2 linked regions of the Arabidopsis thaliana genome follow. The protein of the gene in region 1 interacts with the protein of each later gene in a pairwise test. Each region holds a gene or a part of one and is shown on either strand. Other genes may lie near its edges.

Evidence for each region.
Region 2: the proteins of AT1G52550 (region 1) and AT1G26180 interact in a protein complementation assay, tested with the Arabidopsis thaliana proteins (one large-scale study listed by BioGRID).

The regions. Positions count from the first base shown.
Region 1 is NC_003070.9:19,572,210-19,575,890, forward strand, and holds AT1G52550 (uncharacterized protein), read right to left. Parts: upstream 1,851-3,681; 5' UTR 1,791-1,850; coding exon 1,547-1,790; intron 1,128-1,546; coding exon 976-1,127; 3' UTR 546-975; downstream 1-545. Other genes in the region: AT1G52560 (HSP20-like chaperones superfamily protein), read right to left, coding at 2,574-2,992, 3,278-3,557.
Region 2 is NC_003070.9:9,052,752-9,057,455, reverse strand, and holds AT1G26180 (uncharacterized protein), read right to left. Parts: upstream 2,784-4,704; 5' UTR 2,633-2,783; coding exon 2,285-2,632; intron 2,064-2,284; coding exon 1,983-2,063; intron 1,879-1,982; coding exon 1,819-1,878; intron 1,737-1,818; coding exon 1,693-1,736; intron 1,539-1,692; coding exon 1,496-1,538; coding exon of another isoform or gene 1,457-1,495; exon of another isoform or gene 1,404-1,456; coding exon 1,332-1,403; intron 1,240-1,331; coding exon 1,138-1,239; intron 1,050-1,137; coding exon 930-1,049; 3' UTR 515-929; downstream 1-514. Other genes in the region: AT1G26190 (Phosphoribulokinase / Uridine kinase family), read left to right, coding at 1-171; AT1G26170 (ARM repeat superfamily protein), read left to right, coding at 3,018-3,135, 3,240-3,301, 3,406-3,498, 3,581-3,752, 3,877-3,992, 4,118-4,204, 4,297-4,413, 4,515-4,578 and 1 more.

The sequences.
Region 1 (3,681 bases):
CACATAGTCACATATAGTATTTATATAGTAATAATTTCATCAAAAGGTATTGTTTTTTGAATTTCAAAGATTTCCTTTTCATGGCCTGTTGATGACACATGACAACTAATCAAAGTTTCCTAATCACACACCTCACCTTGGTGAATCTGTACTTACAAAATCTTGCAATTTTTAATACATACAAAAGTTCAAATACTAGTTTTTTTTATTGTGTATGAAGAAGATCTCTAGATATGGAAATTTATTTGCTATAATCAGAACAAATATAAATTAAACATAGCATAAAATCTTAATTTAGATAGATTGTTAAATTACTCAGTGTGGTCAGAACAAAATGTTAGGCTCTTATCATAAATTTCTGTTTCTAAACTTACTACCAGCCTTTAACCAAAACAGGTCCAACTAATCATGAGCTGGTTAATTCATTGTCCCAGTATTGAATAAGGTTTACCTAAATCCAGTTATTTCTTTTTTCATATCATGAATAAACAACCACTGTTTTAAATATAAATCAAATAATAATTAAATACAACTTTGGAAATATTATATTATATAGAGAGGCCCAATAAAAGAGTATGTTGAAGCCCAAACAAGTTATATAACATATCTAAAGGCCCATTTTATACAACAAACATTCAAATCAAAGAAACGGTGCGGTTTACCGTTTGGCTGAATCAAGCACACACCAAACACATCTAGTCATTTACAATCTGAAACAGCTTTCAATAAACAATGATATTGATTTGGCATTTTGACTTAAATGCAAACTACTTTAGTTTCATCACAGTAGAGTAATCTCTATAGCTCTAAGCTAGAGATATCGTAAGAAGAGAACAATCTAGTTTCTAGTATAAAACTGTAGTCTGACAAGAAATTTGCTTTACTTGGAAGAATATTTCCTCTGTATATATACACAAACGTGTAGAGGAGTTTTCATCAATCATCATCATCATCACCACACCAATCTAACTAATACTATTTGAAGCGTGAACCCTTCTTCCCTTTACCATTACCTTTGCTGCCTCTTCCTTGTAAAGCCGAAGCCCAAAAGAAGAGAGAGATCCAAATTAGTACTGAAAGAAAGATCTTTACACGGTCTTGAATCATCGACGCTACTCCCACAAGACCTACACAAAATGTGATACCAAACAACAACTATGAATCCAAATTGTTAAGAAGATTGCTCTCGTATTGCAACCAATGACTAAACCTGTAGGGAAAAGAAAATGGTGGAACTTTTGGAAGACATTCACAAGTTGTAAAAGGAGGAGATTTATAAATCCTTAATGCTTAACAAGAGTAAAAGTCTATAAATTGTCACAAAGATCAAAACTTTAGCAATGAACAGTAATCGATCTTGAGGACTAAGATTAACATCTTTATCTACGAATCAATAGCAGTTAAACCACCTTCATTCTCCTAATTCGAATTCCGTAATGCAATTTCATCGAATTAGGAAAGATTGAAAAATAGAATTGGCAGTAAACAAAATCAGAACTCAGAGTTGAAACATTGAAGTTTTAAGGGTAAGAAGGGAAAGACGAACTTGTGAGCTCAGTCGTGTTTTTAGGCGGAGGTGGGTCGGGACTAGGCGGCGTTGGAGGGCCGAGAGGAGCGACCGCGATGCGTCGTACAGGTTTTGGAGTGGGGACGAGGAAAAGGGTCTGAGAAGGAAGTGGAGACGACCGGAACGGTGAAAAGAACGACGGAGATGGAAGAGGATGGTTTTTACGGCAGCGATGGAGGTAAAGGTTGGAGCTTGAAGTCGTGTTGGCAAACGCCGTCGCCATTTTCTTCACAAGGTATTTTGGACCTTGTTTTGTTTTCTCATTATTTTAATTTTAATTTATGTATACATTATCAAAAAAATGTTTTTGGTTTTTTCCTTCTTAATACCAAACTAAAAGAAGGAAAATGAAATATTTTCTATAATTTTCCACAAACTATTGAAATATCATGCATTTTTGTTTAACATAAATATTGTGTTTTCTTGACGACAAAAAAAAAAAATATTGTGTTTTCTTTAAAGAAACTGAACTCTGACAATACACTAAAATACTGTACTTATTAATAAATAAATAATTTAATGTATAACATAACTTGTCTATAAAGAAAAATATTTCATAGTATAGTATAGCAAATCCACAATTATTAATACAAAATTTACAAATAAAATTTTGATATGAGGTACAAAAATGGACTTCTTGTTTAATATATCAACATTTTTGTGTTCATGACGTGAATTAGCAATTTACTCCATTGAGCCATTCGCATAGAAAACATAAAAGGGACACAACATTTGCTGCTTCTTTTAATTAATTTTGGCTTCTTTCTTTTGCGAAAATTAACTATGCTGAATAACAATTTATTCCATTCTCATTACAAACACAAAACTGGTTCATTCTTTGCTTGTTCAATTAGTCTATAATGTATTTTCTAGCTTCTTTTGTTTGCGCAAATGAACTAAGTTAATTAGCAACTTAATAACTGATTCCATTCGCATAAACATAAAAAAGGTACAACATTAATTTGCTTAGTCCATCAAAGAACACAAAAACGACACCGTATCTCTTCTACTCAACAGAAATCTCCTGAACATTCTTCTTTGGCTTCTCCGTCCTAGGAATCACAAGATTAAGCACACCATTCTTGAGCTCCGCCTTAATGTCCTCAACCTTAGCATCATCAGGCAACGATAAGCTCGTGTTGTAGTAACCATAACTCTTTGAAGACCAGTACTCGTCTTCCTCAGGTGAGCCTTTCTCTTCCTCCGCCTTGTGATCTCCTTTAATCGTCAAGATTCCATCATTTACCGTGATCTTCACGTCTTCTTTGGTTAGCCCTGGAACCTCGTATCTGAGCTTGTAACAGTCGTCTTGCTCTTTCACTTGACCCATTAGTTGGAATGGATTCACGTTGAAGTTGTCGAAAATTCTGTTCATATTCTCTGTTGCTTGTATCAGAGTATTTCCTATAGTCGGAGGAAAGAACTCTGTTTTAAGAAGAAGAAAAAATTCAATTCAAGCAAAAATAGAGGTTTACATTAATTATGTTTCATGAGATTTAATGCAATGAAAATGTAAATTTAAAATTTGATGTATTTTTATGATTCTAGAATTTCAAATTTTCTTCTTAATTTTTCTTTTATGGGATATATTTTACACTTAAATGTTGAATTTTTTTTATATAATTTATTTCGAAAATATTATTATTGTGACACTATTGAAATTTTCTGCTAAATAGGTATATCAATAATGAACTAAAATGACAAACGTACCATTTAGGGTGGGAGTGAAGTAGCCATGATCGTCGGTGTTACGCCAGAGGCTTTTTCGGCCACGTCTCCGGGGGAAATTCTGTCGAGGAGATTTCTTCTCAGACACACTCACTTCTGTGTTCATCTTATCCTCTTGTTCACCAGCCGAAGTAGCCATGAATCTGTTTAGCTTCATTGGATTATGTCGATTTCCGACCAAACCTCTTTCACAAGATTGACCCATCAAACTAGGAGACAGTTTTTGTTGAAGGTTTCTCAAAGCCAGACGAGCTAGAGCCATTGTTTTCAAATCGGTAAATTTCTTAATTTTTGTCTTCTTGTCTTCTTTTTTGTGAGTTTGCAAGAAAAAGGCAAGAAGTGTTTGGTTTATAAAGATGGGATTAGGGTTTATGCTAAAAGGTTGG
Region 2 (4,704 bases), about 11 Mb from region 1:
AGGTCACGCCTAGCAAGAACAGGGAGCAGCAATAGCGGTAACAGAGGCAGATCAAGCAAAAGCTCCTTCTTGTCCAATGTGGAATCTAACAAGCTCCCTCTTGTGTTAACCGTGGCTATTTGCAGCATAGGTATTATAGTGATCAAGAGCTACATTAACAAGCGGCAATAACATCTATTAGCCACTATGGGTTTTCTCTTCTTTTTTTGTTCTTTTGTTTTGGTATTTTTCTCACTGGAGGCGTTTTGTGAGCTTCCCTGGTTTCTCTACGTAGACAATGACGCCAGTTCTCTTCCCCTAAATTAGTCGTTTGGAAGACGTTCTCGATTATTTATTCAATAAAGTTTAGGTTTTTAGTTTACAAGTCACTTCTTTGGGTTTTTACAAGGATCAAGACAAGACCTGGATGCAGTTGAACACAGGGTGACAGGGAGATTGTTAAAACTTAAAAGTACCAAATACAAAAACAACGTTATAGACTGGTAGACTCATCCATTATTATACTCATTCAAAGAAAAAATTAAGAGTTGCTAAATTGGGACATGTCATTGTACCAACTTTCATAACACCCAAATTCAAATCAAGTACTATTGAAGGAACCGAGTCTTCAAAGTGGCAATTGCATTGACAAAACAATATACAACCCATGAAAATCGTTCTACGAGCTAGACCAAGAGAACAATCTAATGCAACCACTTGACATTACATTGGGTTGAATGTTGTTTGTTTCATCATAGGTGATGAATGATGAGGACGGGTGAGCTAAGTCCATGTACCCTTTTTAACCATTATACATATGCATATAGACACAAACACCTACTTTATAAGTACTACATATATGCTCTACCAGAAATGCTCAAGCCATGCATGTTTGGATTCTCCAATGGAGCTGCAAAAAAATAGGAGCAGAGCAGAGATCCTGATTCCCATCATATAGCTTTGTCCAACCAGGCTGGTAATCTCAACGAAGATTTCATTCCTAGTCTTGTTAGGAAGATCGAGTATAGCAGATGCAGCAACAACACAAAGAATCCACTGTTAAGTAACAGCTGTTGAGAATCAAAGCAAAATGTTATCGGCTTCTTTTATTAATTTCCCGAGATAAACAGAGAAAAGCGGGATAAAGAGATTGCGTACCACTGTCCCAAATATCATATAAATGAGGCTCATCGAAGGCATTATGTTCAGGCCCATGGCCGTGAAAACATAAGAGAGAGAAGCGTGGATGTTAATTGTGATCTGCAACAACAATGCAGTGGTGGTTTTATTTGTACAAGAGTTTCTTTAGGTGAAAAAGAGTGATAGGTATTTGAGGGAAAGAGGCAGCTTACCACAGCGAGAATATTTTCTCTTATTAAGAAGGATGATGTCAGAACATAGCCTATGAGACCCAATGCTCGAACCTGCGTGGGAGGAAACACGATAATACAAGTAAACAAGGAGAGATAAGGACATATTAAGTGTACTGTGTAATCACAGGAAGCAGACATTTCACCATTGTGCACAAGAAAATCGAGAGACGCCAGCTTGCCCCCATACTGAGAACAGAATAATATTGCAAGAAAATAAACAACTGAGACATTTTCTTCAACAGTAAAGACAGGAATTAGTAAGATGTATGTTTTTGTTGCAGTAGAGAACTAGAAAGTAGAAACTGTGCAAAGATAGAGAGGAGTGTATGAATTCAACTACCTCCACAATGATCCCAGTGCAAGCCCCACAAGACCATGAGTAAGCTACAAAAATAAAATCTCCAAAAGTTAAGCAATGGTCACGAGATAAAACTCTGCTTGGCAATCTAGGAAAGCGGAGGCTTACAAAGTAAGTTAATGCCTTGACCGGACCTGATAATATGAACAACAGCATGACAGTAGCAACCTGAGAAACAAACAAACAAACACCACAAAAGACTTGAAGCACATATTCACAAAAAAAACTTGAGAAATTCTTATTAATGAGAAAAAGAATGTTCTTTTACAAACCATTGTCTTCCTGCCACCTGCAATGTTCCATCTTATCGAAGAAATCACAATTGGTAGTGAGAAGAAACACCCAAAGTAGTTCTGCGTTCAAAAATGTAAACTCATACTCATTAAAAAGGAACAAGTAAGTATGAAATGTTTATCACACTAACGATCAAACACACAAAAGAACGATGATTCTCACACACATCCTTTGTTTCCAAAGTTGACATTTTTGGCAATGTCTTCTATGAAAAATAAGATCAAACTTAACCTCAATACTCCAATGTCCTTATGGGAATTATAAGGCAAGAAAAATTAACCTCAATGGCGAGAGAATTGCTGAGAAAGTAAACGAGGCCTGTCACAGCAGCGAACATGGCACATTCTACTAATCTCAGCGTTTTCTGGTAAACCACTTCATCTCCTTCCTTCGTCGAAGCGTAATTTCTCTCGGATTCTTCTTTCTTCCCATCCTCTTGATTATTATAAAGCGAAGCACCAGAGACGCTCGAGAATGCGAAGCACCTTCCACGATTAGAGATAGAAACGAGAGAGATTATGTGTCTCTGTGGAGAGAGTGACACAGAAGAAGCAAAGGAGCGTGTAGGGGCAAAACGGTAAAATCGAGTAATGGTAGACTGGTAATGAATCGTCTTGAGGAGATTCATGGAGGCGAAGAAGAAGAAGACGACGAAGCTCTCTTCTCCTCCGTTTATCTTTGATTCTGGAGATAAACTGTTCGATTGATGAAATTACACTAAGCCGGATTTATACCAATTTAAATCTACGGTTAAAATCCGGTTTGGTAATTGTTTATTTTGGTTATTTGATTGCTTCTTTCTTCTGCAACCTCTGTCTATAAAGGGTTTTCTCGACAACAAAATCTAGGAGAGGTGAACTACTTAAACTCCATTTGGTTTCTACTGTCTCTCCGACATCCTCCTATACCAAAGGGACAAGCGGGAATTTGAAAATTGAGGGAAGCTAAAACAATTTTCAAACACTCAATTTCTTGATCCCATCTGGAATTGGATTCCATCGATTAATCTCTCAATGGTGGTGGACCAAGATCAGCAATGGCTGCTCGGTTGCTTATCAGCAAGTCTTGACCCTAACCAGAACGTTCGTTCTTTCGCTGAGACCTCTCTCAATCAGGCTTCTCTTCAACCAGGTCCGTTGCTTAAATCGTTTGGGTTACTTTCGAGCTAGTTGCTTCTCTTCTATAGATTCTTTTTTGTAGTTAGATTTTACCCAAAAGATGTTTGTTTCTTGTAGGGTTTGGGAGTGCATTGTGCAGAGTTGCTGCTAACAAAGACCTCTCTTTGGGATTGCGTCAAATATCCTTTTCATGTCATTGATTTGTTATCCCCTGGAGCTTGTTTATTGATATAATGAGTGTTTTCCCTTTTTTTGGCTTGTGAAGTTCTTAACCTACTGTTACTTAGCTGCGGTACTGTTAAAGCAGTTCATTAAAAAGCATTGGCGAGAGAACGAGGAGGCTTTTGAATATCCTCTTGTCTCAAGTGAGGAAAAGGTACTTTCACTGTCTTCTTTTATTGTTTGTTTTGGATTTCCAGCTGAGATAGTTTAGGAAGTTATTTTGGTTATGTTATTAGGCTCTTATTCGAGGACAACTGTTGGGCTCACTTGATGACTCTCATAGAAAAATCTGTACGGCTATTAGTATGGACATATCGTCAATTGCCACATATGATTGGCCAGAAGAGTGGCCTGAGCTAGTTCCTTTTCTCCTGAAGTTGATTAGCGATCCAAGTAACACTAATGGAGGTATATTTTCGATCAATTTTGTTTGCTCTAGAGACAAATTCTTTTTTTACTACCCATTTCTGTACTCTTTCATGAGAATAGTTACGAGGTTTCCTGAGGCTGAATTTATTTCCATATTCAACAGTTCATGGAGCTTTGAGGTGTTTGGCTCTTCTCTCTGGTGAATTGGATGACAAAGAGGTTCCTACGCTGGTACCTGTGTTGTTTCCCTGCTTGCATGCAGTCGTATCTTCTCCTCAGGTATTGTATTCTTATATTGATACGATCAGACTCATGTTGAATCACGTTTATGGCATGTCAAGGTCTCTTATGTGAAAATTTTAGTAACAGAGGCCCTTATGGAGCTCACTTCTTTGTATATGTAGAGCTATGACAAGTATATTCGAGGAAAAGCCCTTACAATTGTTTATTCATGTATATATGTTCTTGGAGCAATGAGCGGTGTGTACAAGGTACTTTTTCTTTGATAATACATACATCTTGAATGTGATTTGCTTCAGCTACTTCTGTTATCAGTTTACATATATAATGTGTTTATATTCAGACGGAAACTACTACTTTGGTGACGCCTGTGCTTAAGGTTTGGATGAATCAGTTTTCACTTATATTGGAGCATCCTGTGCAACGCGAGGATCCTGATGATTGGAGTTTAAGAATGGAGGTTCGTCTCATCTTGTAATTGTCTTACTTTTGTTCCCATTGAACTCCCGGAATTGTATATCGGGCCCCTGTCTTTGCATTGATTTTACCTCCTCTCATTAGGTCTTGAAGTGCCTAAATCAGTTTGTACAGAATTTCCCATCTCTCATCGAAAGTGAATTGATGGGTATGTTCTCGTGTGTTACCCATGTACTTTTTTTATTCAAACATATGCATCTGAAGCATCATTATTGAAACATAATATATGTGCAGCTATTATGAGGCCATTGTGGCACACATTTGAGTCATCTCT